Linked DNA regions of Oryctolagus cuniculus. The protein of the gene in region 6 interacts with the protein of the main gene of each other region in a biochemical or structural test. Links are inferred from orthologs where the notes say so. Each region holds a gene or a part of one and is shown on either strand. Other genes may lie near its edges. The genes, in order: CIT, ARHGAP32, SMURF2, SMURF1, PKN2, RHOA and ARHGAP35.

Region 1 (3,838 bases), on a different chromosome or scaffold from region 6:
ATCAAAAATTATGCTTAATGTTACACTTAACATTATCAAGACAGCTATAATTCAGAATCAATGAAGCTAATTAAAAACAAGTTATATTCATTAAAATTAAATATTGTGGGGTCCCTAAGCACTGTGCTGATTGTACCTAAAGATAAGCCTGCCCTGGGTGAGTGTAAGGATGGGGTTGGAGGATCCGTGTGTTCCTGGGACCAGACGTTCCTGGACTTCTCGGTTTCATGGCCCAAATACATTCATTCTTCAAACTGAGTTTCTGTTGCTTGTAACCAAGAAGCCTTGGTCTCTAAGCTACAGCAGATGCAACCTGAATGTGAACATGAACCTGGTCTGTCTCGTTTAGACCAGTGTCCTTACCCTCTACCACCACCACTAACCCACTCCGCCTTTCCCATCCTTCTCGTTTTCTCTCCTGGGACAGTGTCCAAGAAAGAAAAAGGTCCCGAACTTACACTTCCGGACGAAGTTGCTCACGTGCTTAATTTTCATGAGAGCAGGCTGACTGCATTCTTCAAAGAGAACAAAGAGGGCATCCAATATCCCTTCTCGGGAAAGAGGAGACATCTGCTGCTGAGTCATGAAGGGTGGCTTCCCCTAAAAACAGCAAGCAGCAGATGGAGGCACTGTCAATAATGATAAGCTTTGATCAATAACATCCACGCAGCGTAAATTACAAGCCACCAACTCGCTCACTGATCACGACACCCTCACAGCACAATTCCGTGGCAACGTCGATCACTGCCATTAGCATGGGTTTCTGCCTCCAGTGCTTGGGAAGCAAACTCCACAAGCAGCCCATTAATAAGACAATGTCCTGGGCCGGCGCCGCAGCTCAATAGGCTAATCCTCCACCTTGCGGCGCCGGCACACCGGGTTCTAGTCCCGGTCGGGGCACCAGATTCTGTCCCGGTTGCCCCTCTTCCAGGCCAGCCCTCTGCTGTGGCCAGGGAGTGCAGAGAACAATGGCCCAAGTGCTTGGGCCCTGCACCCGCATGGGAGACCAGGAGAAGCACCTGGCTCCTGGCTTCGGATCAGCACAGCACACCGGCCACGGCGGCCATTGGAGGGTGAACCAACGGCAAAAGGAAGACCTTTCTCTCGTCTCTCACTGTCCACTCTACCTGTCAAAAATTAAAAAAAAAAAAAAAAGACAATGTCCTTCATTCTTGATGGTCTGAGGTTCGTGTACTGTTTCCTTGGACCCTTGGGTCTGACATGTTACCCCATGTCCACACTGCGAAACCATGATGGTCACTTCTTTTGTGTGTGACCACAGGCTTGTTGATATCACTTCAGTTTCTTGAATTCGTTGGGACCATCTAAACAGTGTGGATGGAGTGACTATCATCAAGCCAAATTTATTCATGATTTGGAGCCACAGTTACAAACTGGCAGACTGTGTCTAGCCCACAGACATGTTTTGTTTGGCCTGTAGTGTTTTAAATAATTTGAATTATCTGCCAATATTTAAAAATCAGAAGATTTCACCAAAATAAAAAAAATGAAAGTGAAATGTCTGGCTTCCCTCACCACAGCAGTGGCTCTAACAGCACTGTCCCCAACAGCGCCATCCCCGTGGCTGCCTGGCGACACTGGGCACGGCTCCCCTCTTGGCAGCAGGTGTGTCCCTGAGCTCACCGAAGACCTGACTCCCAGGCTCCTACCTGGCTCACGTGTCTGCGGGGCCCCTGACAACATGCACCTGCAGCCCCCGGTCTGGAGTTAGAACTCCATGGGCTGGGCCACGGACTGCAGCACAGTCCCTCAGCAAACACGGCCGCAGCACTTCCGCCGTTCTGGAGATGTCTCCTCCCCCTGAATCTGTGCTGATACTTGTGTCAGTCATCAGAACGTCACCAAAGTGACCATGTGCCAGGTCAGGGCAGAGCCCTTAGGAAGCCTGGCCCCATCTGCTTTGGCTTTTCTGGGAATCTGAAAGAAGCTTCAGCTAGACCAGGAGTCAGAAAACTATAGCCCATGGGCCAAATCCAGCTCGGCATGTCTTTATAAATAAAGTTTTATTGGAATACAGCTGCACCCATTCATTTACACATTGTTTAAGGCTGCTTCTGTGCTCCAACGGCAGAGCTGAGTAGTGGCAAGCAGAACTACATGATCCAGAAAAGCCAAAATATTTATTTATTTATTTATTTATGACAGGCAGAGTGGACAGTGAGAGAGAAAGAGAGACAGAGAGAAAGGTCTTCCTTTTGCTGTTCGTTCACCCCGCAATGGCCACTGCGGCCGGTGCACCACGCTGATCCGAAGGCAGGAGCCAGGTGCTTCTCCTGGTCTCCCATGGGGTGCAGGGCCCAAGCACTTGGGCCATCCTCCACTGCCTTCCCGGGCCACAGCAGAGAGCTGGCCTGGAAGAGGGGCAACCGGGACAGAATCCAGCGCCCCGACCGGGACTAGAACCCGGTGTGCTGGCGCCGCAGGCGGAGGATTAGCCTATTGAGTCGCGGCACCGGCCCAAAATATTTATTATCTACAAAAAAACACAAGCTCTGGGCTAAGAACACTGAGTGATGAGAGACCCGCTGGAGCAGAGAGGCATCAAGGAGGAAGACTGAGGGCCGCAGGCAGCAGTGGGCTTCCAGAGGTTCCAGTCCCAAACACAATCACAGCTAAGTGTGGCTCCGGAGTGACCCCACAGATGCCTCAGGGTGAGGCGTTAGAGCACCTAGGTGCGTCCAGCCAACCCACAGAATCCTAGGAAAAAACAAATCACTACTGCTTTGTGAGTGGTTTGTTAATCCAACACTGGATAACATAAGCAGACTGGTTACATTTGGAGAACTTCACACACACACACACACACACACACACACACAGATTCTCTGGTCCTCTTTCCTACCTACTGAATCAGAATTCTCCCCATCAGGGGCCCACATTGTGGCCCAGCAGTTAAGCCACCTGCACTGACAGCCTCCCATAGCACAGTGCCTGTTAGAATTCAGCTGCTCAGCTTCTTATCCAGCCTTCTGCTAACGGCCTGGGAAGATGATGGAAGATGGTCCAAGTGCTTGGGTCCCTGCACCCACTTCAGCCTGGCTCAGATCTGGCTACTGCAGCCATCTGGGGAGTGAACCAGCAGATGGAAGATCTTTCTCTCCCCCACTCTCTGAGACTCTGCCTTTCAAATAAATTGTCTTTAAAAAAATATAGAATTCTCCAGATTATATCTTAGAATCTTTTTTATCATTCAGTTCCCACAAAAGACTGAAACTTCAGTGGGTTTTCCAAGCACAGGGTCACAAGTCACCCTGTCACTTTGGTAATAGTTGCCACTGACTCAGAAAAATAAGATTCTTGGTTTCTTCTCTTCTTCAATGAGTTTAGATCAGCTACAGCAGGAGTTTCCAAATATAGCACTGATTCTTAACAAAGTTTTCAACAGCCTGCAGTAAAATGAGAAAAAAATGAACACCACACCATATCTATTTTATAAAGCCAAATGTATTTAAATTTTAAAACGGTCCTTTATGCTGAAAGGATGTACTTCCTCTCTTGGTGTGCCTAAAATGTCCTTTCTTTATCAAATAAAAGGGCAGAAGATAATAGATTTTTCTTTTTTATTACTTTTCTATCTTTATTTGGCAAAATATAAAGTGGCAAATCTATGTGTGCCCAGCAATTTGTGAAACTTTGGTCAAAGATTAAAGTATTTATTTATTTGAAAGCCAGAGTGGTACAGAGAAAGAGATCTGCCAACTACTGGTTCACTCCTCAAATGACTGCAAGAGCTATGCCTGGGCCAGCCGGAAGCCGGGAGCCAGGAGCTCCTTCTGGGTCTCCCACATGGGTAACAGGGACTTGATCCATCTTCTGC
Region 2 (4,475 bases), on a different chromosome or scaffold from region 6:
TATATCATGACCATGTGTGCCAAGTAGTTCTCTCAGCCATTGATTCATCATCTAGAAAATGGAAAAAAAATAATACCCACTTTATAGGATTAATATAAAGTAAGCCAATATATAACAAATAACAACTTAGAGCAATTTTTTGTGTGTTGGAATTCAAAAATTTATTTTTCCTTTTCTACCTTATATTTCTCCTTGTTAATCACAAGATTCTGTTAATGATCACTAAGGACCATTCAAAACACTCTGAAGGTCTCTAAATATTGAAGTGTAACAGCAATTTTACCATGGTGATAAGGTAGATAACCACCCAGATTATTACCTTCATACTACAAATGAGAAATCTTCATATGAGAGATTTGTGAGTCAAGGGTGCACAAGTTTGAACTACTTCCCTGAAACAGATTGTGCAACATCCTATAGTGCTAGAATCTAAGAAAGAGTATCCTTTCTACCAACCAAATCCAAAAACGAAGGATACTCCAATTGCTACTAGACAGATACTAGCTCCTATCCGAGAGCACTTCTCCCTAACTCAGGTGCTTGTTGGAACCACCAGAAACTGCATTCTAGATAAAATAGGACCTCACTCAGCCATGGTGCCAAGTGAGACGATGCTATTCTTTTGAGAGTAAACGTAAAATCTAACATAGAAACTATTCAGAGAAAAAGGTCACTGTATAATCTTCTGTCCTCATTTTATTGTCTGTTGTGCACTTGCGGAAACATAACCATAACAACATTTTTGGTTTCATATGTAATAGCATGGATTTTTTAAAAAACTAGATAGGATGAAGATTTATTTGTACATTTTTTAAAAATTATTATTTTCACAAGATCAAGTCTCCTATAACACTGAATCTACTGTTTGGTTCTCCCAAGGTCACAGCCGCAACTCCTCCTATCCAACCCTTCACCTTCCACGCCCACACACACATTTTTTCTGCTAGGCATTTCACAGGAATGAGCCGGGATGTTGTGAAAGCACTCTGCTGCCATGTTTCCTCATGCCGCACTGCTGAATAGGTGAGAAACACTACATGATATTGGCCCTTATCCACATCTCTTTGTTGCATTTGTGAATACTTAAGATCAAATCTCAAAATCTTATTTAGTTTGGGAGGGCCATAGTGATATTCAGATAGGAAATGTAATTGTAAACAGAGAAAGAACAAACGTCCAATAGTCTCATGATCTCCTAAAACAATGTATACACTAAGACAGTTCTCAGAATAAAAACTGCTGTCACATATTCCTCAGAAAAGAACATTTGTTTTTAACTGTCCAAAGAGGGTCCCAGAGACATCTATCACCTAACAAATAGATCTAAGTTTTTTAGATACCAAACCTATTACAACAGCAACAACAAAGTAAATTGTTTCTTCCATGGACAAAAACCCCCAAATAACTTACACAAGTTTAATACCAAAACAAACCAATTCAACACAAACAAAACAAATATTGTATTCCCACTCACTGTTCCTGTGACACTGACCATGCTGAAAACTAAGCGTACATGTAACATTAGCATACCCTGGGAGAAATGAAATTTATTCAAACCAGCAAGGCTAAATAAAAAATGAGAGAACAAGAAAGTTGTGGGGGAAAAAACCAATCATATCCAAATAAAGTATTTCACTTTCATACTTGAACATTAAATTATTCTTTTAAATTTTTAGATATACTTCTCATTTAGTTTAAACCCCAGTTAACAAATTCAGTATAAGTTATCAAGTGTTCCTAATATGGAATCCTTCCTGTCACTGAACCTATAAAAAATGAAAAATAAAATCTATGCATGAAGAATATGTATATATTCTTTTTGAACATTCAGCATGAAGACAATATCTGATAAAAATGGTATGCTCAAGCAGCATACCCAAGCAGTCAAAGGTGAAATTATCAGATGTTTAATTGCACATGTGGGTGGCAATGATAAAATATAATACAAACTTTAAACTTCACAAAGATATTTTTAATGCCTCCGAAAATGTTAAATTGTTAACACTGCATGAAAAAGAAACGTCAAAATAAAGTTTCCTGAAATCCCTAAGAGTACAGCAGACTTAGTACACCACTGATCCTCTCTCCACAAGTTGGGTGAGTTACCGTCCTTCCCCAGTCACTCAGCCACTCGGCAGGTACCCTCTATAAACTTCAGTTATGAAGCTACTGTTACAGATGCAATAACCAAGAGAGATTGGAGGCGGGTGGGGTGAGCTGTTAAAGACACAGACAAGAGTAAAGATCACAAAGTAAAAGCCACAAAATAACCAATTTGTTCTTAATTAAAATTTTTCAAACACCTGCATAAGGCAACCAAAACAGGCAGACAGACAAATACACCACATACCCTAGAACCCATTCCAAGAAAAAGAGGAAGAAAAATCTATTACATCCAAATTCAGATCAAATCTATCAGATAGAAATCAGATACAGGAAGGGTAGCAGTTCATTGTGAGTCGCCACTTGAAATTCCTGAAATGCTACTGCAGAACCTGCCTAACACCTTCTCTTCCTGGTGTTCTAACAAGTCAGTTAAAACATATTTTACAAGCTCAGGGCAAGTTGTGGAATGAAGAGTGCCACATCCAACTCGAAACCTGTCTGCTTCAGCTGAAACCTCCCCACCCCCGACCACCCCCTCAGAAAGACGCAAAGCAAAAGAGTTGGAAACACAGAAGGGGGGGAGGGGGGCAGGGAACATGGAGGGACAAAGGCTGAGATTCGGGGAATCTCAAATTCCATAATTACCTGAAATTCTCTTCCTTTTCTCCCTCCTCACTGTCAGTCACCTGGGTCCTGACTGCTGAATCCAAACAAAATACACTGTCATCCCCCGAAATGCTACTCTCACTTTCAGTGTCCATCTTGTATCTTAAAAAGTGGAATCCTCAAGGCATGGGAGAAACAGCACCAGTGTCCAGGCTGTTCAGCGATGTACGCACACTCAGGTGTGTGGCAGGTACTCTGCTGGCAAGAGATGGTACTGGTTTAATGACAGCTGGGGCACAGACAGGAAACCACAGGCAACACATTCACTGCGTCTGACTGCCCCACCTGTGATACCTTGGGCCCTCCCACTGCCCTAGGCTCCCTGACCTACATAATCAAAAGCAGAGTCCATATGAAGGTGATTTTGCACTAATTACTTCTTTTAAAAATTATTTATTTATTTTGAAAGAATTACAGAGAGGGATAAAGAGAGAGGGAGAGAGAGTCTTCCATCTACTGGTTTGCCTCCCAGATGGCTGCAAAGGCCAGCACTGACCCAGGCCAAAGCCAGATCTCCCACATGGGTGGCAGAGGCCCAACCACTTGAGCCATCTTCCATTGCTTTTCCCAGGCCATTAGCAGGGAGCTGGATTAGAAGTAGAGCAGCTGGGACACGAACCAGTGCCTATCTGGAACGCCAGTGTCTCAGGAGGCAGCTTTACCTACTGTATCACACCACCAGCCCCTAATTACTTTTGGAATACTATCTTTCCTTTTTCAAAATTTCCATTTAAATTCATAATAGGTATTTTCCAAAAAGTAGACTTTTCTCTATTTGTAGCTTTTTGTGATCTCAAACTTGGGAAAAGTAAAGAGAAAACCAGAAACATAACACTACTGATAAAGGTTTCCAGGGCTAAGCACAATGACAGGCATGTTACAGGTAGCGTAAGAGGATCACAATTAACAGAAAAAACAGGAATGGCCTAGGGACTTGCCCAGCTCCATGCCCTGGAATGCTGACACCTTCTCTTCTGCTGTTCAGTACTGCAGCCACGCAGACCTTGGCTCAGGGAGCCGCAGCAAAATGGAAAAGCCAGGCTTGCCTATGACCAGTACTGTGGTGCGGCTGGTTAAGCCACAGCTTGCTGAACTACTCCATTTCAGTCTAATTTCCTGCCAATGTGCCTGCGAAAGCAGTGGAAGATGGCCCCCAGTACTTGGGTCCCTGTCACCCATGTGGAAGACAGGCCGGAGTTCCTGGCTCCTGGCTTCAGCCTGGCCCACACCTGGTTGTTGCAGCCATTTGAGAGATGAACAAATATATATAAGATTTCTCTCTCTTTCTCACTCTCTCAATTTTTATTATTCTGCACTTAAATAATAAATATTTTTAAAAAGAAAAATTAAATTGTCACAAGATGGAAAATGCTGACAGTTACAGAATTCAACTGTATACATCCACGGTGTCAATAAAATATCTTCTGGGAAATGAATGAAAAGTATAGCATCTGGGGCTGGTACTGTGGCATAGCAGGTAAAGCCGCTGCCTGCAGTGCCAGCATCCCATATGGGCACTGGTTTGAGTCCCAGCTGCTCCACTTCTGATACAGCTCTCTGCTATGGCCTGAGAAAGCAATGGAAGATGCCCCAAGTCCTTGGGCCCCTGCACCCCTGTGGGAGACCTGGAGGAAAGCTCCTGGCTCCTGGTTTCAGATCAGGGCAGCTCCGGCCATTGAGGCCATCTGGGGAGTGAACCAGGA
Region 3 (3,572 bases), on a different chromosome or scaffold from region 6:
GCTAGGCTGAAACATATAATGCAAAATATAATGCTCTGTTATAGAAAAACATAATTAAACATGTAAATGGCTTAATTTCTTAAAGATAATGATCCTTTTAGCCAGTTGTTTACAAAGGTAGAATAATTCAAAATAATTTTATTATTTTTTTTTTACAAAGAAGTACAGGAGCTGTTCAAAATCATGTATTCAATCAAAATGAAATGGGACTTGTACCGACTGCTGAAGTTGTCTTGATGTTTGAGAAACGTGAACTCTGTGAAGCAATTTGAATAGATTACCTTTTATAAAAATAGTAGTAGTCTTTAAAGTGTAGAATACTGCCTAACTCTGGAAATGTAGGAAAAGTCAGCATTCTTTAGTTCAAGATATTAATTTTAAATAGCAGCTGAATGTGGCCTCATGGCAAAGCATAAAGACCTTTTATTCCTTGAAAAGGAATTTCAAAATTGTCCTTTCCCCTCACAGTGTCCTAAAAAAATTTAAGGGGGGGATGGGGATGTTTTCCTGTATTTCAGCATTCTTTGAAATTCTGCTGAAAGGAGGCTGTCGGCAGGGATATAAATAGAGTTCTGGGTAAGTCCTTGAAGCTCATCATTCCACAGCAAATCCACATGTTTCTTCGATGGCTGTTAGCAGCTTTTCATAGAGCTTTTCATAGCTTTCATAGGGCGGAATGTCTATTCGATTGAAGCTGTGAATAAGCAAATCAGATTTATAAAGTTCATTCAAAATAAGTAAACTGGTCTGGCAAATACACTGGTAACAGCCATATCACTCTGTGTCATGCAGAAAATGTAAAGGTTGTACTTTCTCTAAAATAGAGATTACCACTTTGGGCTTTTCCCACTAATTTTTGAATAATCTTAACTTTCAAATTATTTAAAAGAGTTGCTTATCCTTTTAAAAATTCATTTACCAATAATAAAAATAATGAAAAATCAAATCTATGTGAACTAACACCTATGTATATGGAGTTGGGGGAAGGGGCAGAAGCTACAAAAATAACTCACCAAGTGTGGGCTTTTGGCAGATTGTTGGTGCAGGCATCAATCTGGTGAATGGTGAAGAGCCGCGGGCCCGCAGCACCTGCGAATGAGGAAATGTGGGTCACATCGCTGCAGGCCCGCGCACAGCCTCTCGAGTCTCAGCCTGAAACTGGTCCACAAACCACAGGGTCTAGGGCAAGGGAAAGGCTGGCAAATCCACACATGCTACCAACGGCAGCAGGGAAGAATCTGGATTTTGAAAGCTGGAATTGCCCTTGGATACGGCTGGATTCCTGAATATGCTAGCATTTCAATCTCAGAAAAAGTTCAGAATTGAAATGCCTTTGTCATCGTTTATAGAAAATCAGTATAAGAATTTCAAAATAACATACATAGGCACACATTCAGAAAATGGCAACCTAATGCAAATTTAATTTCATGATTCAAACTGGGCTGACAGCACAGGTTAACAGCCTATACAATCAATTCCAGTTAACACAGAAACCCACACCGAGTGCAGGAGAAACGCAGCCTCTCTTATGCATCTGGACAGTCCGACAGCTCTCCGAATAGGGAAGGGAGGCACAGCTCAGTAGGCTTTGCCCAGGGACTTCAACGCTCCCACTGCAGGGGGCACTGCTGAGGCATGTACCCACCTTGTGTTTCTTCACGCATCACCAGCAGTGGCATTAGCTTTGAAAATGAAGGGCTTATGAGGTAAAGGAAGTAGCTGCCACCCAGGATGCACCACAGTTTCTAGCAATATTACCAGTTCATCCAAAAATTAAACAGCTATTCCAAGGAAGCAATTCTTAAAAATGGAATATGGTTGTAAATAAATGATTGAATGCCATGCAATAATTTAAGTGCTCTGACCAAACAGATGGGTTCTATGACTCATGCTGTCTCTTTCTATTAAAAGAATAAAAAGGAGACAAGAGAGGCATCCAGGTGGGTAGATGTTTTGCCAAGTTGAGATGTAAAGATGAAAGTGGACAACTTCCCATACAAGAATGTGCAACAGAATTAACAGCACGGTGGCCAGAAAATGAAAGGCAGAGCATCACCACGTACAGTGCGATCTCTAACGTGCGGCACTCACTACAATCACAGAGAACCCCGCAGAAAAGGCTCTTGGGAGGGGAACAAGAGAGAGGAAGGAGAAGAAGGTATCATGATGTGAAAGTTGCAGGTAAGAAACAGAGTGAAAAGACAATCTGTTCATAAACACATGGTTTGTAAAATATTCATATAAACCAAACACTGACACCTCCACCCCACCCCACCCCACCCCAAGGGTGATACCATGTGGCCTGTCCGTCCCCAGGCTTTTTACCCTGTAACGCTTTGAAGCCCTGGAGAGGCACTCTGGATGACCCTGTCACAAACTGAAGTAATCGCGCTCGTCGCTCTTCATCAAAAAATTCCACAGCTTTCCAGAACCACTTGACCACATTGCTGTCTGGTGTGCAGTGTTTCAACCTGGTGTTTACCTTCCAGTCATTAACATCTATCTTTCCAAGTCCGCAAATAATGAGCTGTCAAAATATTGCACAAGTCATCAGCCAGTGGAAACCAAAGCCATGCCCCAAATTCCTCAATACAGAACTATAGATTCGTAGTGTTGGTTCTTATTTGCTTGTTCTTAATCAAAGGTAACATCACCATCATCTGGGAAGCTTTTCGAAGTACACACCAGGCCCTATCTTAGAGGGTTTATTTCTGGGCATCCACTGTGAGAAGATTTATATTTTAAAAAGCTCCAGAGGTACCTACTTACTGTAGGTTCCTCCACAGGGTCAGAACCACCTCTGTGGTTCTAATTTCATAATAGAATTCTGAAGTTTTTTAAGTGGACAAAAAATGAGAACCAAAGAGTATAATTAACATTTGTTTTCCTTTTCAACACTTACTAGCTTTGTGATTTGGGGCAACTCAGCTCATTCCCTCAGCCAGCAGTCCTCTCTCTGCTGTCATAGGGAGGGAGTAGCATCTGTTTTACTAACCCCTGGGAAAGCAACCTGTAGTGCCAGCAACTCAAAGAATGTATTTTGAACAAGTGGTTATACAATGTGCTTAATAATCTTGAAATGATATTAAACACAAAATACAGGAACACAGAGCTCTGCTTGGCAGCCTAATGCAGGGTCAGTACAGATGAACAATTTCAAAATCACTTTGATACTATTAATGTTCACATTAGGGTTCATAGGGTCCAAGACCAACTCATCTAGCTAATCCAACCTGTTTATGACACTGAATCACAATAGTGTGTGGAATAAAATATAACTTGTAAATCCTAGATTTTATATAATTAATCTCATTAGAGTACCACACTAAAAAACACTTTTTTTTCTTCTTAAAACTTCAAGGATTTCATTAGCAGTACAAACTATATAATAAATCCTAATGCCACTAAACAAAATCTCCACAAAGCTACTCTAGGGTCCTAAAAAGATTACTGAATCTAAGCCATACTTGCAGAGAGGATATTATCCAAAAAAGATTATGGGCATATTTCTAACACAAAAGATACCTCCTAAATTCTTTTCCTTAGAGGAGTGGCAATTACAAGGCCAAATT
Region 4 (3,838 bases), on a different chromosome or scaffold from region 6:
GGTACACCTGTGTGATTTCACAGAGGCCGTCTGTGAAGGTGTTTCAGTGAGATTGTAAATTCAACCTAAAGTCTTTCCTATTGGTGATGGCCAGTCCCCAGCTTGAGGAGAAAGAGTTGCCGAAGTTTTGTTTCGTGTGCTCCTGAATTTGAGAAAATGAACAGTTGGCAAAGTTCATCTCTAGGACTTTTCCCCTTATTGCAGATGTAGATGACCTCTGGGGAGAATCTTGTCTGTAAATGCTAACCCTCGTATTTTTTCTCATTTTCAGTGTTATGTGCCAAGAACCTTGCAAAGAAGGACTTCTTCCGTAAGTAAACACCGATTTTTGCCCTCTTACATTATTCTTCATGTGTTTCTGAAACTTTACACTTTTTAAAAACCCACTGGGTGCGTTCTCCAGTCTCGCTCTTCCCTGGGTGGAGATCATGGTTTGACAGGTGTCATTTCCCAGGTGACCGCAGCCTAGGGGCCGCCTCCTCAAAGGCTCCGAGCTGCCGAGTGGCACCGAGAAACCTGTCCCGCTGCCAGGCCAGCCACACCCGGGCGCCTCTGCTTCCCCGCCTTGTGGGACCTTGCTCTCTGCTGGCTGAAGTGTTCTCAGCTCAGATAAAAACGGGAAGACTTTTCTAAAAAAACAGCTGCGAGTGTCCACCACAGTTAAGAATTTCACTCGCACTGTGAAAGCCCTGTCGTTAAAGGGGTTATAAAAACAGAAATCTTTTCTGAAGCAAGGAACGCTCCGCTCCTTAACGGAGGGGTGGGGCCTGCAGGCCCTGAGTTCACGCAGCTCTGGTCTCCCAGTGAGGGGCTCAGCTCTCGCGGGGTGTGAGTGAAGACACTTAGGCTCCAAGGCTTCATCCAAGGAGCTGGGAAGCTCGGGTGGTGGCTCTCCTCTAGGTCCGGCTCAAACCCTCCACCTCGCCACCCGTCTGATCCCATAACCCTGCCCGATTCATCCTCCAGTGCTTAGGAATGTGCCCGAGTAAGAGGGAGTACTTGCGTCCAGCGGTGAGACAAAGACCATCCACGGGAATTCTGGGAGCTACTATAGTCTTAGAATAAATGCAATTTATTAGAAACTCTTTCCTCTCTCTGCATGTAGCCCCCACTATACAATCAGTACGCATGGAAAGTGAAAAGTTGAAGTGAACCCTGTTTTATAGTTTCTGTCCTCTTCGATGTGGAGTATGAAGGCATACCGGTTTGTCCCACTTAGAAAACAAAATAGAAATGACTGACTTCACCACTGGGAGCTCATCTTAGCTTGGAGGCTGACAGGCACAGGGGTCCCCATCCTGCGGCTGGCTGCGCGTCCCTCAGCCAGGCGTGGGCGTGGCTGTCCTCTCTCCTCCAGGGCTCCCGGACCCCTTTGCGAAGATCGTCGTGGACGGGTCTGGCCAGTGCCACTCCACCGACACCGTGAAAAACACGCTGGACCCAAAGTGGAACCAGCATTACGACCTGTGAGTGCCGCGCTCCGCAGCCGTCTGGGGTGCCGCGGGGGGCGGGGGAGGGGGAGCTCGCTTCTTCAAGAGAAGCCCTGAGAGATTGACGATGACCAATGTGAATCGCCTCAGTTTCGGGTTCATGTGCGTGGATGTTTTTGCCTTCGGTGTTTCATCGGTTTCTGTGGTCTGGCTTTGTAGCAGTGCCCCTTGTCCTTCTCAATCTCCTTGGCATTTATCAGGAAAAAGAAAAAAAGCCCTAGTTCCTGTCCCTTGCATGCTACACTGTCGCCTCAGGGGACTGTTGAACACTGTAGCGTTTCCCTAAAAGACATGATGATTGTATAGATCTGCTGAATTTTTAGACGCTTTTTCTTTTTAAGGAATATCTATCTTGTGCAGGAAGAAATAGTTTTGCATGATTGAGTTATATAATTCAATATATGAATTCTGGGTACTACTATAGTCTTAGAACCATCAGGCAAATTTTTACGTTCATTTAAAAAAAAAAAAGGAGTGCGCTTTGCAGCCCACTGTGTTATGTGCACCCTTGCTAAGAAGTTTCGGTCCGAGTGATACTGAATGGTAGTGTTACAATCGTCAGTAACACGTGTTGTGTGGCGATAGGACTTTCAGGGGTTACAGCCTGAGCCTGGGTCAGTGACGCCACGCTGCCATTAGTGGCTTGAGAAGCGGTTGTCAATTTCTGTCCTCAAAGCTCCTCTCTCTGGTCGGCGTGCCCTGAGACCCGCTGGAGACTGAATGTCTTAGTATTCTTTTGTGTCCTCTGAATGGCTGTGTGGGTTTACAAGGAGTCCCTTGATGCAACCCAGTGCTGTGTGTGAAGCCTAGTTGGTGGGGTTTATGAGCCCGTCGCCACCCTGGGGCGCTGTTACCGTGGACTCAATCTCCGGTCTGAGGTTCCGATCGCCACGTGGTCATCTACGTTTGCCCCTGCGTTGGCGCGCCGCCCTCGCTCAGCCCGCTGACGTTGCTGGGTGTGTCTGTGCACGTGCGCGGGTCGGGGGAGAGCCAGTGTTCCTTTGCAATAAGATGGGATGTCGCGAGAAGGCCTCTCTCAGAAGCCCTGTGAAGCAGCGAGCCTGGTCTTTGCAGGTACGTGGGGAAATCGGACTCCATAACCATCAGCGTGTGGAACCACAAGAAGATTCACAAGAAGCAGGGCGCCGGCTTCCTGGGCTGCGTGCGGCTGCTCTCCAACGCCGTCAGCCGGCTGAAAGACACCGGATGTAAGGACCCAGAGCCTCTCGGTGCTGGCGGAGGACGCGTCGGGGCGTCGGCCGAGTGCGGGACTCCCGCCTCCCTCCTCCCTCGTTGCCTTTGCCTGGGTTAAGGTCTGAATTGTGTGTTTGCAGATCAGCGTTTGGATCTATGCAAACTAAATCCCTCCGACACTGACGCAGTTCGTGGCCAAATAGTGGGTAAGAGCTTTCTCATCTGTATGGAGACGCTTTGACCGGTCAGTTCCTCACCCGTGACGAGCTGGCCACACGCGGGCCACCCCTGCAGTCCCTGCCCCTCCCCCCTGCCATTCCAAGTTGCAGAAAGAGACAGGGTTGGACTTCTAAATGTCGCTCTGATCGTTACTGGACACTTTGTGCTACTCAAGGTAGCTGATGAGAACGGTGGCCGCACACACGAGAGAGCTGGGCTGCGGTGTCTCCGTCCTGTGTACACAAGGCAAAGGCCATGGGGAAGAATTCCGTGTGGCGCTATTTACAGTCAGCGGGCTGCCCTGCTGGGAGGGAGCCACTCACGTGGGCTGATGCCCCCAGGCTGGAGGCCTCGGTTGAAGGGAGCTATCTGTGAAGTGGCTCTGAGTGTCTCAGTGTTGACTGTGGCTTTGCAGGGAATCAGGGGCAGCCGCAGGAGTACCGCGACTCCGCGGTCTCCAGGCGCCGTCTCAAGTAGCCTTGACCCGAGATAAGCGGACAGTAGGTCAGCACGCTGGGAACCGTCACAGCAAAAAAGTTAGTTCCCACTGCGTTTCTTCTTGCCGTTTCTCCTGGCCTGTGCGGAGTGCTGGGGGAAGTGAACAGCTGGACGCAGCCTCTGTCTTTAGCGTTTGTATCAGACAGAGAATTAACCCTTAGATCCAGCCAGACCTTGCAGGGAGCGGAAGAGCTCTTGCTGTCAGATCCTGAAAGTTACGGTCACTGTCACTGCTGTTTATGGAGAGCATAAGAAATACAGCGTCCTCTCCCGCCCCGCATCTGTGAGCTGTGTCCTCCGCTACTGTGTGTGGTGGGCACAACTGCCAACTGCTGGGGCACAGTGCTGCCTGGGGAACCCCTGTGGTGGGGGGAGGGAGGAGGGAGGGGAAGAGAGAGAGATGGGGGAGGGGGAAGGAGGGAGGGAGAGCGTGAGAA
Region 5 (3,838 bases), on a different chromosome or scaffold from region 6:
TAAAAAAGATGACTACTGAATGGCTGGCATTCTGTTTTAGTCACTTGCCTATTTTCTAGAAAATGGGGCCCAAAATTTAAATATTTAATCTCAACAGAAAACCACATACAGTATTTGGTACTTGAATTTTATATTATTGCAAGCTGTTCTTCATTCATAATCACTTGTTGCTTTCTTTTTTCCACCTTCTTATACTCAGAGTCTAGCTACATGGTTATTCCATAAATATCCATCAAATGAAAGATGCTAATTGCTTTACAAAAATAAAATACAAATTTTCTCCATTGTTCCCAGTGAAAATGGACAATTTGTTTTGAATTTTCATGGTTTTAAAGCCTTTCCCAGGACAAGAAAGTACTTGTGAGAAGGCAAATTTAAGGTAATCAATCTTTGCCATTTTGAACATAATAAATCTAACACATATTTAATCACCAGGAAGTTTCTAAAAGGAAATAATACTTAAAACCAAAGTTACAAATTCCATCTATTTAATTTGTGCACTTGTGGGAAATTTATGACTGCAAACACTTTTTTCTTAGAATGACAGAGTTAAAGGCACATTTCATTTGAATGCATAGTGTACCATTCTAAAATATCCTAATTTCCTTACAAAGTGCTTGAGCAGTCACATACACATACAGTAATAGCAAAATATATTTACACTCTATAGAGCTTAAAATTTTAAATCTAAAATATATATATTTTAAAAACTACAGAAAAAATTAGTGCTTTCTTCAGCTTAATTGTGTGAATATACCCTGCCCTCTAATTTTCTTAGTGATTGACTTCAATTTTTAAAAAAATTTCTGTACACTGTGTAGTTACAAAATGTTATGTCAGTTTTTAATGCTAAAAGCCTATTTTAGACTTTGCTTTCTATGCATATTTGAGAACCAGCAAAGGTGAGCAGACTGTACCTCAAAAGTATTTAGTGTCTTATGAGTATTTTAATGTTAATACTGTTTAAATTTAAGCCAATTATGCTAAATTCCTCTACTGTCTTTTGCCAAGGAAGTTAACTGGCATTTTAAAATAACTTTAATCAACATATTGCTCTTCTTCCTACAAGATATTCTCCCACAGGATCTTGGGTAATAATCAATTTTGAAGGTAATAGGAAGTATCTCTGGACAATTTTAATTGTTCACAGAGTACAATTAAAAACACACCAACGCATTCAAACAAAGTTGAAATATTTGTAAATGTTTTTAGCTCAACTCCCTGTGCTTTCATGTTTCTCACAAGATTAAACTGAATAATTTTTTAACAGATGAGTCCGCTGTGATTAAATGATTAATCCAATATGGTTAATTAACAGGTAGATATTCCTGAGGTATAAAGACCCTAACATGCTAAGCACAGGATCAAAGATGTTGTTACTGAACAAAAGAAACAATGAAATCATGAAGTAAGAGTAAAAAATCCAAAACCAAACCAAACCAAACCAAAAAACCAAAAAAAAAAAAAAAAAACAAAACACCTCCAAGCAAGTGGAAATTCATGGTTTACAAAAAGACATCCCTATACGAGTGAAAAAAGCCACAAACGGATCCTCTGAAGAGTTGTCAAAAGTATTTGATCAATTTTTTTTGAGACTTTTGAGGTACAGCTTTAGTGTTATAATATTTTTATAAAATATAGACTGTTTTATCAAAAATATTTATACATTCTGTTACAATATATTGCTTTTGCCCTCAGTAACTGCCAATATAAAATCTGGATCCAGTGGCCTAAAATGTACAAATGCACTTAATGTAAATGCTGGAGTTTGAGGTGTCTGCTTGGCCACTGTACAAAAGTGATGAAGTAGTGAAATTAAATAATAAGCCTACAACATAGAATACATTACAACTTGTACATATACATGTTCACAGCATGTATACAATGATAATCCTACGGTTTAACAATGATATAGTTCCCTTCTACAGCAGACACATGAACACGATGAACTAGACTGATAAATGCAGAACAAGTATCAAAAAAGGGGTAGTCAGTTCACTGATTCTGGAAGAAGATATGACTGAATAAATCGGGTGTCTAGATTTCGGGAATGCATAGAGGTAAGAGTATATCTTGGTTCAGGCTGATTAGAAGTCCTTATTCTGAACAATTTAAGGAAATGCTGATTGTTTCAGCATTGTTTAATAAAAAATAAACTGTTTGGCAAGTAGCTCTGTTGGAAAGCTATGAGGCTCTACTACATGGTTGATAAAGTGTAAGGCAATAAAAATTTTTCTCCTAATAAATATAGAAAATTTATAAAACAAGATATCAATTCATTTTGTTTTTCAAAAAAATTAAGCCTCAAAATGTGCACAAATTGCCACTACAGATTTTTTGATATAATAGTAATTTTTTAAAAATAAGAGCATTTGCCTTATTCAAACATAATCATACTTTGTATGAACAATAATAGCATTCCAAGCCATTTTTGTTTTCTGTTTGTAAAACACAAGTTAAGTGATTAATCTTCTTTCCACTTAAGGCAGGCATATGGCAAAGCTAGGGACTATGAAAGAGTGGTTTCTTTCTTTCTTTTTAAATAGACTATTGTTCCAAAAGTATTCATTTGTGATGGATTTTCATGGCCAATGTTCTTTCAGCTTAAACTCCTCAAATCTGCTTCCAGTGCTCAGAAAAAAAATTTGAGAAGCCACTTTTCATGAAGGTATTAAAACAGTACTTTTAAACAAATCTTCATGTGTTTTAAAAAACAACTCAGAAGCTATTGGTGGCACAGAGAGCAAATGAAGGGTTGCTATTCTTAAGAGGTCTTCTTGTGAGTCAGTTCGCTTGGTTTCACAGTGTCTCGTAACTTAACACCAATCAGCAATGTAGTCAAAATCTCTGAACAATTCTTGCTCCTCTTCTGAAAGTATCCTTGGTTCTCGAGGTGGAGTCAGAATAGGTGCTTCTGAGGTAAATTCATCATCAAAATTACTAACATCTTCTCGTCCTCTGATAGTAGGTACAAATGGTGGCTTTACTTTTTTGTCCATCAGAGCACTCCAATCAATTAGCTGGATTACAAAACATAAAATGACCAGTTTAGTTTCCCATTCCCAATTGCTTTACTTTTATCAAAACTTTCAACTTTCATACTCACCCTGAAAAATGGGTGCTTTTTTACATCCTCTGCATCTTTCTCACCAGCTCCAAGGCGCCGCTCAGGATTTCTTCTTAACAGCTAACACAATATAACATGGAAATGTTAAAATAAAACCCATAAAGTAAACTTTATTGATAGGGATTCTTGTAACATCCAGAGATTTAGATATTTTTTAATGTTTATCTAAACCATGCAACATCTACGAGCTGAAAACCAACTTCCAAAGTTCTACTGAGGAATTTCCTTTTATAAAAATAATTTAAGTAGCTTTTTAAAAAAAATTCTTACCCTTCTCATTATGGAAATGGCTTCGGTAGATAAGAACCTTGGATATCTTACTTCATCGTTTACAATACTGTCAAAAACCTCCTCTTCATCATCACCAGGAAAGGGAGACTGGAAGAATATTTTTAAGTAAGTTAAAATGAGTTTCAGGAGGTGAGTGCTTAGTGCAGTGGGTAGGTTACCACTTACGAGAGCCACATTCCATACCAGAATGCCTTCTCTACTACCTATCTGGCTTCCGGCTAATGTGCACCATGGGAAGCAGCAAATGATGACTGAAGTAGTTAGGTCCCTGCCACCTATGTGGGAGACCTTGACTCCTGGCTTCAGCCCAGCCCAGCCTTGGCTGTTGTAGGCATTTGGAGTAAATCAGCAGATGGAGTATCTTTTTCAAATAAAATGAAAATAAACAAATAAAAATTAATAAAATGAATTTCAGTGCAC
Region 6 (4,628 bases):
CTCTGTGACTGTGCCTTCCGAGTAAAGTAAATAAGTCTTTAAAAAAATAAAAATAAAAAATATATGTTAAAAAAAAATCTCTGGCTCTCAGGGCTGGTGCTATGATGCAGTGGGTAAAGCTGACACCTGCAGCACTGGCATCCCATATGGGCACCGGGTCATGTCCCAGCTGCTCCACTTCTGATCCAGATCCCTGCTATTGCACTTGGGAAAGCAGTGGAAGATGGCCCAAGTCCTCGGGCCCCTGCACCCAAGGGGGAAACACGGAGGAGGCTCTTGGCTCCTGGCTTTGGATCAGCACAGCTCTGGCCATTGTGGCTGTTTGGGGAGTGAACCAGCAGATGGAGGATCTCTCTCTCTCTCCCTCTCTCTAACTCTGCCTTTCAAACAAATAAATAAATCTTAAAAAAAAAAAAAAAAAAAGAAAGACATCTCTGGCTCCTGCTGTGAGCAGGGCCTGGGTTGTCATTGTTTTCTGGGTCTTCCATAGCCCCCATCAGAGATTAGTTTTATAAATGACCCTAGTGAGGTCAGTTGGTGGGCTAAGTACAGCGGCTCCTGCCTTCCCAACTGAGGCTTACAGGGAGTGGGATCCAGAAGATCTGTTAGTTCATCTTTCTGAAATTATGACAGTACCACCCCCCCACCCCCGGACAGCTCAAGTGCTGATGGACTTTCCAGACCTTGGTGTCAGCCCAGCCTAAACCCTGACCTCTACATGCAGACCTGAAGCTTGCTGCCAAGGCCACTGTGCTGCTGGATTTGTGCCCTGACAACTACCCACCCCATCACCAGCACGGGCGTGTTCTCTGCCTGCCATGCATGGGGCTGGGATGGGGGACGGATCTACTCACCACGAAGGGAAATGTGTGGAGCCATCAGGTGTGGATCCATTCTGGCCGCCCAGACCTGAAGGCAGGAACACAGCCAGAGCTGCAGTAGACTGGGGGTGGGGATCTGGGCAAGCATCAGCCCAATTCAGGGTAGGGGCCGCTAGTGGAATCTGCCAGGGGTCCTGAGTCTGGTGACGGTTCTAGAGATCAGTTACAACGTGATGGGCGGAGCGGTGGGGATTCTGGCATAAAATGATACGGTATGATAGCATAGGTCAGGGTAAAATACTAAGTTCTGACGATCTTGGTGGACTTCTGGTAGTCTAGGGGGATTCTGAGGAACCCAATGGTTCAGTCTGGTGGGGGCGGGGGCGGCCAGCTCACGGAGGTTCATAGGGAGCCTCACCTGGGCGGTGATACAACCCGGTCACCGTGTTCCCGTAGAACCCCCACGCCAGCTGGATGCCCAGGAGACTTAACACCAACCACAGCAGCAGCAGTTTGAAGAGGGTCACACGCATGTCCTGCGCCTCCCACTCCCGCAGAAACTCGCTGCCCAGCGCGCCCAGCGCGCCTAGCACCGTGGCCGGCAGAGCCTGCAAAGACTGTCCAGACCAAGACTCCGCCATGACCGGCCCGCGCCCCACCCGGGGTACTGTCACCGTAGTGCACACCGCGCAGGCGTAAGGTCTTCCGGGGCTAGGCCCGTTAGTGCGCACGCGTAGAACCAGGCAGGGCGGGCCTACCTCGCTTGGGCGAAGAGTTGGCAGTTTAGGGAGGAGTATTAAAACCGCGCACGCGCACTTAGCCCCACCCTACTCCCTTAAAGCATGAGTGACTCCCGGAGTATAAAATAGCAACCGGGTCTTTTATAGCCCCAGAGTTCCCGTGATGCCCCACGCGGCTGTAATGATTGGTTGAGCGTCTTGCTTTTAGGGCGTGGACGCGCGCCTGAGCTATCGTGGCTGAGATGTGAGTGTGCGCGCGCGCGCGGGGCCGCGACCAGGGCCGGCTCGAGCCCGCTGGGCGCTCGGGGACGCGCACGTCGCTCCCCGCCCTCCCGCCGCCGCCCGCCCTCGCTCGCTCGCGCTCCCCGCCCGCCACCCGCCGTCCTCCGTCGGTTCTCTCGGTAGTCCGCCGTCGCCGCCTCAGCTACCCGCCCTCGTCTCCGAGCTTGCGACTCGCGGACAGGCGTCCTCGGCGCGAAGAGGCCGGACTCGGAGTCGTCGCCCGAGGTGAGCGGGAGGATCCCCTCCTGGCGCCCCGGGCCCGCCCGCCCGCCCGGCACTTTTCCGGCCGCCCGCCCGCCCGCCGCCCCGCCGCCCCGCCGCGGCCGCGCCCCACCTGCTGCTCCCGCCCGGCCGCCCCCGGCCCCTGACCCTCACTCCAGCCCGGGGCCCGCGCCCCGCTCCCGCGGCCCCGCCCGCGCCGGCCCCGGAAGCGCGCCCCGCCGCCTCCAGCGCCCCTTCCCCCGCCCGGCCGGGCCTGCTGGAGCCCCAGCCGCCCGCCCGCCCCGGAGCTTCCTCTCTCACGGCCGCGCGGGGCTGGGCGGGGGCTCCTGGCCGCGCGGCGCGGCGCAGCCGGCAGCCGCAGAGCGCTCGTGGCTGTCGGAGTTGAAACGGGAGAGAAACTCTTTACAACTCCATTTTACCTTTTCCATCTGCTGTAGCACATGAATCACCGTTTTATGCAGAAGTCCGGCTGTGCTTTGAATAGATTTGCCTTTTTTTTTTTTTTTTGATGCGGTATGCTTGGAGAGAGTCTTAAGTAAAAAAGCTTGTGTTGAGGTCTTAGGACTGCTGCCTGAATTGGGGCGGAAAAGGGTGTTTTCCAGTTGAAAATTTTTAATGATTTAAACAACGTTGCATTAAAATGCAGGTAGTTTTGCCTGTGGAAGTTGCTGCCTTTTATTGGGACTCACCTAAACATCTGCCCCTGGTTTTGGATAGGATACACAGTTACAGGGTGTCTGCATTAAATAGCATTGTTTGCCCCCAGGTCGATTTCGTTAAATGCAGTGTTTTGTCATTTCTGGTGGAAGCTTGCATCCTTTTTACCTCCGTGTTGCTTCCTGTTGTGTTTCCTAGTAGTCCTGTTCTCAAAATGTTAGACTCTGTTGGTCACTTGTTCGGTTATTTCTGCCTTTAAGACGATCTTTTGAAGTAAATGTGTCTTGCAGGTGTGCAATCAGATTAGATTCCTCTCTGCCAAATCTGAAGGGGAAAAAAATGTCAAAGCCCCAAACCTCCATATTTTAAAATGGTGTATATGGTGAGACTTTTTCAGCCACTTAGTGTCACACACCCAGGCTGGGTTGGTGGAGATGTTGTATGTGGCACAAATGACATTGTTTGGGCTGAAACTTACAAAGACTAGTCCTTAATTGAAGCATCTCTTGATAAATTTCTAGAGACCCTTTAAAACTACAAATCTAAGGTGAATTTTAGACTCCTGTGAGTCTATGCCACTTGTCATTGTCACTAGTAGCCATAATGCAGTTGGACCCAATGTGTTGTCTATAGCAGTCCATCAAGTCCAAATCAATTCTAAAAGTTTAGGTTAGGTTTAGGTTAGTTCCATCTACTTTTGTAGAGCACTTTATGGCTCTTGGGGACATAAAATATGTAAGATGGAACTTGGTTTTAGTCAAAGTCTAGTACTAGGTTTACTGTCCTCATAAAAATCTGTACTGGAGAGAATAGAGTAGGATTATAACATCGATCAATTATCTTCATAGACCTAGTACTAAAATGAATTAAAATCATGTAGTCCAATCACATCTGCAGATGAGGAAACTGAGTCCCAGAGACTTAATTAAGCAGGATCATACTGGTATTATCTAGCTAGAAGCAGGCCAGAACTGTTTGCTCTGCAGGATATTCTCAAATACACTCCCAAACAGCTGGACTAGAGTCAGCTAAACTTTGGGACTTACTCTACCGTTTTTTCTTTTATACCTTGCTGACTTTACATAGATTGGGAGAATGTGAAAATTGATTTGCCAGCCAAATTTCAGTTCCTTAGCTGTCACAGCACTCTCCGTAACGGGATGGTTCCGCTGCAGTCACTTGTGAGAAATACCTGAATATACCTGCAAGGTCCTTGGCTGCCTATTCCTGGCTTTAGGTGTTTGGGTCTCAAGCGACCAATTTCCGGAGAGAGGCCCAGGCCTGGCTGCTCCAGAACCAGCCTAATGAGGTCAGGCTGAGATGTTTTCAGACAACTGCGGGCTCTTTTGCTGACTCCTGATAGGGGCAGGCTGAGGAAGGAACTGTACATATCAGGGTAACAGTCCCCTGTGCACATGTGTGTTGTGGTGGTTTTTGTTAGAGTATTTTCATAGTTTTGGTTCCTATGCTGTCAGCCAGTTAAGTTTTAAAAGTTTATCCTAGGTATATGGGGGCGTGAGTTATTAGGAAAGTAAAAACGGGCAGATCTTAGGTGTGTGTTGTCGATAGGGTGATATGCAAGTGGTTAGTTGCTACTTTGGGTCTTCTTAATTGTCTTTATTTTTTTTTAAGATTTTAAAAATACATATTTATGTATTTGCAAGGCAGAGTTAGAAAAAGAAATCTTCCATCTGCTGGTTGGCTTCCCAAATGGCTAAAACGTCTGGGGTGGGGCTGGACCAAAGTGGGAAGCCTAGAACTCTGTCCAGGTCTCCCTGGTGGGTGGCAGGGGCCTAAGCACTTGAACCATCCTCCACTGCCTTCCCAGGCACATTAGCAGGGAGCTGGATCAGAAGTGGAGCAGCCAGGACACACTTGTGTTAGCGAGCTGAGAGATATATTAACT
Region 7 (4,384 bases), on a different chromosome or scaffold from region 6:
TCTGATAAGTCAAGGGTCTGACTCTGCACATGCGTGTTTAGTATTTCAAATGTGATCACAGGGAACAATTTCTCAGCGCTGAAATAAACAAAGTTTGGTCCTAGCGCAGTTAGGAAAACCCTTCCAATAAATACTCCATCACACCAGACGGCAGCTTTAATATGCCACTGCCTCAGGTCACAGGAGAAAAAAATTCAGGCTTTTGATATATTTACAGAATAAAACAAGCCAAAGTCCCCTCTCCCAAGTTAAGGAAGAAAAAGGGTTGGATGACTTTTCTACAAAACCATCTCTACCTCCCAATCGATTTCCTAAGCCCCAGCCCCAGCAGACCACTGAAGAGAACAGCTCAATGAAAGGTAACAAGGCACAGTTCCCAGGTAAGAAGTCTAAATCCACCCCATCAGCCAGCTCCCGGCACCCCTCTCCACGCCATCAAACCAGGTCACCCAAAGGGTTTGCTTGGGGAACGTCATGGCCCACCCACACACCCCTGCACACCGCGCCCCTGGATTAGCCTGTGGATCTGGCCAGAGGCTCTCGGCTCCTGTGGCTGGGAGCGCCTGCAGTGCCAGGGGGCAGAAATCCCTGTGACACTTGGCACTCTCTCTTTCAACAAACAACCGCAAAGCTTTGCAAACCCAGGCCCTCACCAGGCTGCACCAGGCTGAAGACCGGCAAGCTGGAGCCTTCCTGGGGCAGGGGTGAAAAAGAAAGAAACCCACCTCCTCCGAGCCCCTCCCCCAAGGTCAGCCGGCCAAGCGGAGGCCGTCAGGGAAGCCAGGGCTCCGGGAAGCCAGGGCTCCGTGGCTTCTGCAGGCCCAGAGCAGTAAACACCAAGTGTGGCCATAGCCCCGAGGGACTGAGGAGAACTTGAGAACTGGCATTTCCCCAGCTAGGGGTAAAACAGAAACACGACTTGTCAGCTGGAAAAAAACAAAAAAGCACACTCCTAAGATCTCCCAGCAGGACTGCCTTGGGGCAAGTGTCTCCCTGCCCCAGCCCAGGAGAGATAAGGACCTGCGAGCAGCTGCAGTCCAGGGGACACAAAGCTGCAAAGCCCAGGGATGGGAAGGGGAGAGGAAACCAGGCCCGAGTGCGAGCCACTCCCGACACTCCACTAGCCTCGGGAGAGGTGGGAGCCGTGGAGACACTTCCAGACTCCAGGGAGCAGGAACCTATTCACCCGGCTCTCTGGGGATCCTGGGGACAGAGCCCCGGGAGGGGGGGTCAGGTCAGCCTCAGAGCTGAGGGCTGGGGCCCAGAGCCCGCCAGGCCTGCAAAGGGGAAGCACTCCGGCAATGCTGAGCCATGGGTGGGGAGCCGGCAGAGGCAGGTCCGACAGGAACTGGATGGGAAGAGAAGGAGCCAGGCAGGATGCGGTGGGGAAAGGGGGGAAAGGCGAGGAGACACGGAGGCACAGACCGCGAGAGGGGTATGGAGAGGGAGTGACCTAGCGAAGAGCTGAGGCGGCTCCCAGAGGAAGGAACGGCTAAGACGACAGCTTAGTGTCCCAGCAGAGAGGCCAGGGCCGCAGCAGTGGGCACAGAGGGGCAGCAGGTCGGGCGGACCGCGGAGGGAACGGATAGGAGGCAGTTGTCAGAAGACCGGCTAGAGAGGACCCCTCCAACAGGGCACGGCCACAGGACGGCTACCCACAGGCGCACGGGCCGGGGCCGGGGCCGGGGCCGGGGATGGGCGCAGAGCGAAGATGCAGGCCTGGGAGCTGCGGACGCGGCGGGGGCAGAGGCACCGGGCAAGTCCAGGAGCAGTCAGGGGGCAGGGCGGAGGCGGCGGCAGGAAGCAGGCTCGGGCCGGGCAGGGCTGGAGGGGAGACAGTCCCAAAAAGAGGGAGCGGCCGGCAGGGCAGCTCAGAGGAGCCCCGAGAAGAAGGCGCGGACGAGGACACCTGCGAGGGAACTGGGGGTGAGCTCCGGCTGGTTAGAGAGGGCAGGCAGGCACCTTGAAGGGGGAGGAGGCCCAGCAGGCACCGAGGTCGGGCGAGGGGCAGAGCAGGGAGGCAGAAAGGTCTGGAGCAAAAGCTGAGCGGGGCAGCAGGCCAGCACGGCGCACGCAGGGGCTGCGGGGCCAGAGGCCCGGCCAGCAGCATCCCCGGGATGGAGACGAGGGCCCGACGCGAAGGGCTGCAGGGCCCCCGGGGAGGAGCAGGGACGTCCTAGGCGAAGACCTGGGCGCAGCCGTGCCCCCGCGAACGGGGGTGTTGGCTGGATCTCCAAGAAGCACCCGCAGGTCCTCAAGGGACAGCTCCTGGGGGCGCGAGAGACCGGGAGGCAGGACTACCGGACAGGTCCACCCAGGAGCCGGGGCCAGAGCCCCAGCGTGGTGGCAGCAGAATCGGGGAGCGGAACGCAGGGATGCACAAGGGGTCACCGGGGAGGAGGTGGGTCCCCAGGGCACTGCGGAGGCCAGGAGCGGCCAAGGGCATCCCCGAGGGGCAGGGGAGGGGAGGGGAGGCGCGGAACTGCGAGCAGGGAGGGCTGACGGGGGTGGGGGGCCAGGCAGACACCAGGTCCCGACGGGCTGGGGATGGGAGCAGACGCGGGGACAGCAGGCCCCGGGCGGACAGGGGCGAGTCCGAAGGGCAGGCGGGCCCTGCGGGCCGGGCCCGAGCGCGACGCGGCGGGGCCGGCGGGGCCCGGGGACCTGGGGGGCCGCTCCCTCCCCTCCCCCTCCGGCTCCTCCATTGTTCGCGGGCTCCGGGCCCCGCCGTCCCCGCCTCCCCCTGGACCCCGCAGCGGGGCGGCGCCCGGCCTCGCCGCCCGGGGCCCGCGAGCTCGCGCACTCACCAGCCTGCGCCCTCAGCGCGGCCCCGGCCTCGGGGATCCCGGCCGCGGCGACGGCGGCCCCGGCGCCATGTTCCCCTGCTCCTCGTCCAGCGGCGGCTGCGGCGGCGGCGGCGGCTCCGGCGGCGGGGGGCCGGGCGGACCCTCCCTCGCGGGCTCCCTCCTCCGCCTCCTCCACCTCCTCCTCCCGCCGCGCCGCGGCTCTCCCTCGGGGCGGGGGGCGGGGAGGGGAAGGGGGGAGGGGCGGGAACCAGGGGGAGGGCGGACCAGCCTCGCTCGCTCCCTCCCTCCCTCCTCCCTCGCAATGGCGGCGGCGGCGGCGCCTCCTTCCTGCGGCCGCCGCGCCCGCGCGCGCGCACACACACACACACACGCACCCCCCCGCCTCAGGACTGCGCGTGCGCGGCGCGGGACCGCTGCAGGGGGATAACGGCCCCTGGGCGCGCGCCGCGGGAGGGGCGGTGCGGATAACCGGCGCGAGGCAGCGGGAGCCGCGAGAGCGCCTGCGCGCCCGCTGCGGTCTGGGACTGGGAGCGGGCGGTGCAGTGCGCCTGCGCCCCGAGGAAATGCCGCTCCTGCGACTGCGGCGGCGGCGGCGACACCGAGCGCGAGGAGACCCGCGAACGGGCTGAGGGAGCGGGGCGAGCGAGTGCGCGTGCGCGGAAGGGGCTGCCCGAGGCCGGCGCGAGGCGGAGGGCGTGGCCCGCCGTGGGAGCGCGCGTCCTTGCGCGCGCCGGGAGCAGCCGCTGCCGCCCCCCGCAGCCTCGCGCGGTCTCTAGGAGAAAACTGGAGCGGAGAGGCATGGCCTGGCTCTGGAGGCGGGGGCAAAGGGCGCGATCCCGCTCGCGCGGGACCTAGGTAGCCAATGGGAGGCACGGGGAGGTGGGCTTGCCGCGCTAGCCGCGGCCCCCGGGATAACGGAGGAAGAGAGAGAGGGGGCGACGTAACGTGGGGCGGTGGGGCGGGGCCGGGGAGGAGGGAGCGCACCCAGGGAGGGAGTTGATTGGGCAGCGCGAGGAGGCGTGGCCCGCCGCAGCCCAATCCGAGCCTGGCGATTCGTCGTCCCGGAAGAAGGGGCGGGGCTGCGGAGCGCGTGCTCTGCGCCGGGGGACCTGCGCCTGCGACCCGCGTGGCGGCCCGACTTGCTCTTGACCCCGAGGTGGGCCGGGTCCCTGGGACGAGGAAGGCGGCCCGGCCTGGCTCGGCGTGCCTCCTTGCCCGCCAGCCCAGCGCCGGGCAAATGGCTGGAAGGCAGCCGGCGTTACGGACGCTGGAGGGGAGGCAGCGATGGGAGGGGCCGCCGCCGTCACCTTTGAGTCCCCCGAACCGAGAAGGGGTCCCTCTGGGATTCGTGCGGAAGCAGGGGTGGGATGGTGGGAGAGGGGCTTTCCCGGCGCCGCCGAGTCAGCCTCTGTGGAATGCATGAAGAGGTCTCTCTCTCAAGTTACGTGAGTGTAATCTCTCTGGGAAGCCCAGCACTCATGTTGCGGATAAGGGGGAACTCCTTATACTTAAAAAATGCTAAAACTCACGCCACGCACGAAGTTCAGTGCTCTACTACGTAAAATGACGTGGAGTCG

The links.
Region 1: the proteins of RHOA (region 6) and CIT form a complex in vitro, tested with the Homo sapiens proteins (2 studies listed by BioGRID, with this or other methods). The link is inferred for Oryctolagus cuniculus from reciprocal best matches to the Homo sapiens genes RHOA and CIT.
Region 2: of the proteins of RHOA (region 6) and ARHGAP32, one has a biochemical effect on the other in vitro, tested with the Homo sapiens proteins (3 studies listed by BioGRID). The link is inferred for Oryctolagus cuniculus from reciprocal best matches to the Homo sapiens genes RHOA and ARHGAP32.
Region 3: of the proteins of RHOA (region 6) and SMURF2, one has a biochemical effect on the other in vitro, tested with the Homo sapiens proteins (3 studies listed by BioGRID, with this or other methods). The link is inferred for Oryctolagus cuniculus from reciprocal best matches to the Homo sapiens genes RHOA and SMURF2.
Region 4: the proteins of RHOA (region 6) and SMURF1 form a complex in vitro, tested with the Homo sapiens proteins (2 studies listed by BioGRID and IntAct, with this or other methods). The link is inferred for Oryctolagus cuniculus from reciprocal best matches to the Homo sapiens genes RHOA and SMURF1.
Region 5: the proteins of RHOA (region 6) and PKN2 form a complex in vitro, tested with the Homo sapiens proteins (2 studies listed by BioGRID, with this or other methods). The link is inferred for Oryctolagus cuniculus from reciprocal best matches to the Homo sapiens genes RHOA and PKN2.
Region 7: the proteins of RHOA (region 6) and ARHGAP35 form a complex in vitro, tested with the Homo sapiens proteins (3 studies listed by BioGRID). The link is inferred for Oryctolagus cuniculus from reciprocal best matches to the Homo sapiens genes RHOA and ARHGAP35.

What each region holds. Positions count from the first base shown.
Region 1 is NC_091452.1:15,912,214-15,916,051, forward strand, and holds part of CIT (citron Rho-interacting kinase), read right to left. Parts: intron 601-3,838; coding exon 459-600; intron 1-458. UniProt on the Homo sapiens protein: Plays a role in cytokinesis. Required for KIF14 localization to the central spindle and midbody. Putative RHO/RAC effector that binds to the GTP-bound forms of RHO and RAC1. It probably binds p21 with a tighter specificity in vivo.
Region 2 is NC_091432.1:122,787,852-122,792,326, forward strand, and holds the start of ARHGAP32 (rho GTPase-activating protein 32), read right to left. Parts: upstream 3,002-4,475; 5' UTR 2,868-3,001; coding exon 2,752-2,867; intron 1-2,751. UniProt on the Homo sapiens protein: GTPase-activating protein (GAP) promoting GTP hydrolysis on RHOA, CDC42 and RAC1 small GTPases. May be involved in the differentiation of neuronal cells during the formation of neurite extensions.
Region 3 is NC_091448.1:14,185,652-14,189,223, reverse strand, and holds part of SMURF2 (E3 ubiquitin-protein ligase SMURF2), read right to left. Parts: intron 2,528-3,572; coding exon 2,326-2,527; intron 1,090-2,325; coding exon 1,014-1,089; intron 695-1,013; coding exon 595-694; 3' UTR 1-594. UniProt on the Homo sapiens protein: E3 ubiquitin-protein ligase which accepts ubiquitin from an E2 ubiquitin-conjugating enzyme in the form of a thioester and then directly transfers the ubiquitin to targeted substrates.
Region 4 is NC_091450.1:41,317,176-41,321,013, reverse strand, and holds part of SMURF1 (E3 ubiquitin-protein ligase SMURF1), read left to right. Parts: intron 1-271; coding exon 272-310; intron 311-1,357; coding exon 1,358-1,466; intron 1,467-2,564; coding exon 2,565-2,698; intron 2,699-2,824; coding exon 2,825-2,890; intron 2,891-3,838. UniProt on the Homo sapiens protein: E3 ubiquitin-protein ligase that acts as a negative regulator of BMP signaling pathway. Mediates ubiquitination and degradation of SMAD1 and SMAD5, 2 receptor-regulated SMADs specific for the BMP pathway.
Region 5 is NC_091438.1:82,155,703-82,159,540, forward strand, and holds the end of PKN2 (serine/threonine-protein kinase N2), read right to left. Parts: intron 3,506-3,838; coding exon 3,398-3,505; intron 3,188-3,397; coding exon 3,107-3,187; intron 3,021-3,106; coding exon 2,817-3,020; 3' UTR 114-2,816; downstream 1-113. UniProt on the Homo sapiens protein: PKC-related serine/threonine-protein kinase and Rho/Rac effector protein that participates in specific signal transduction responses in the cell.
Region 6 is NC_091441.1:99,830,667-99,835,294, forward strand, and holds the start of RHOA (transforming protein RhoA), read left to right. Parts: upstream 1-1,791; 5' UTR 1,792-2,068; intron 2,069-4,628. Other genes in the region: TCTA (T-cell leukemia translocation-altered gene protein), read right to left, coding at 855-909, 1,240-1,462. UniProt on the Homo sapiens protein: Small GTPase which cycles between an active GTP-bound and an inactive GDP-bound state.
Region 7 is NC_091449.1:10,574,961-10,579,344, forward strand, and holds the start of ARHGAP35 (rho GTPase-activating protein 35), read right to left. Parts: upstream 3,104-4,384; 5' UTR 2,808-3,103; intron 1,927-2,807; exon of another isoform or gene 1,787-1,926; intron 1-1,786.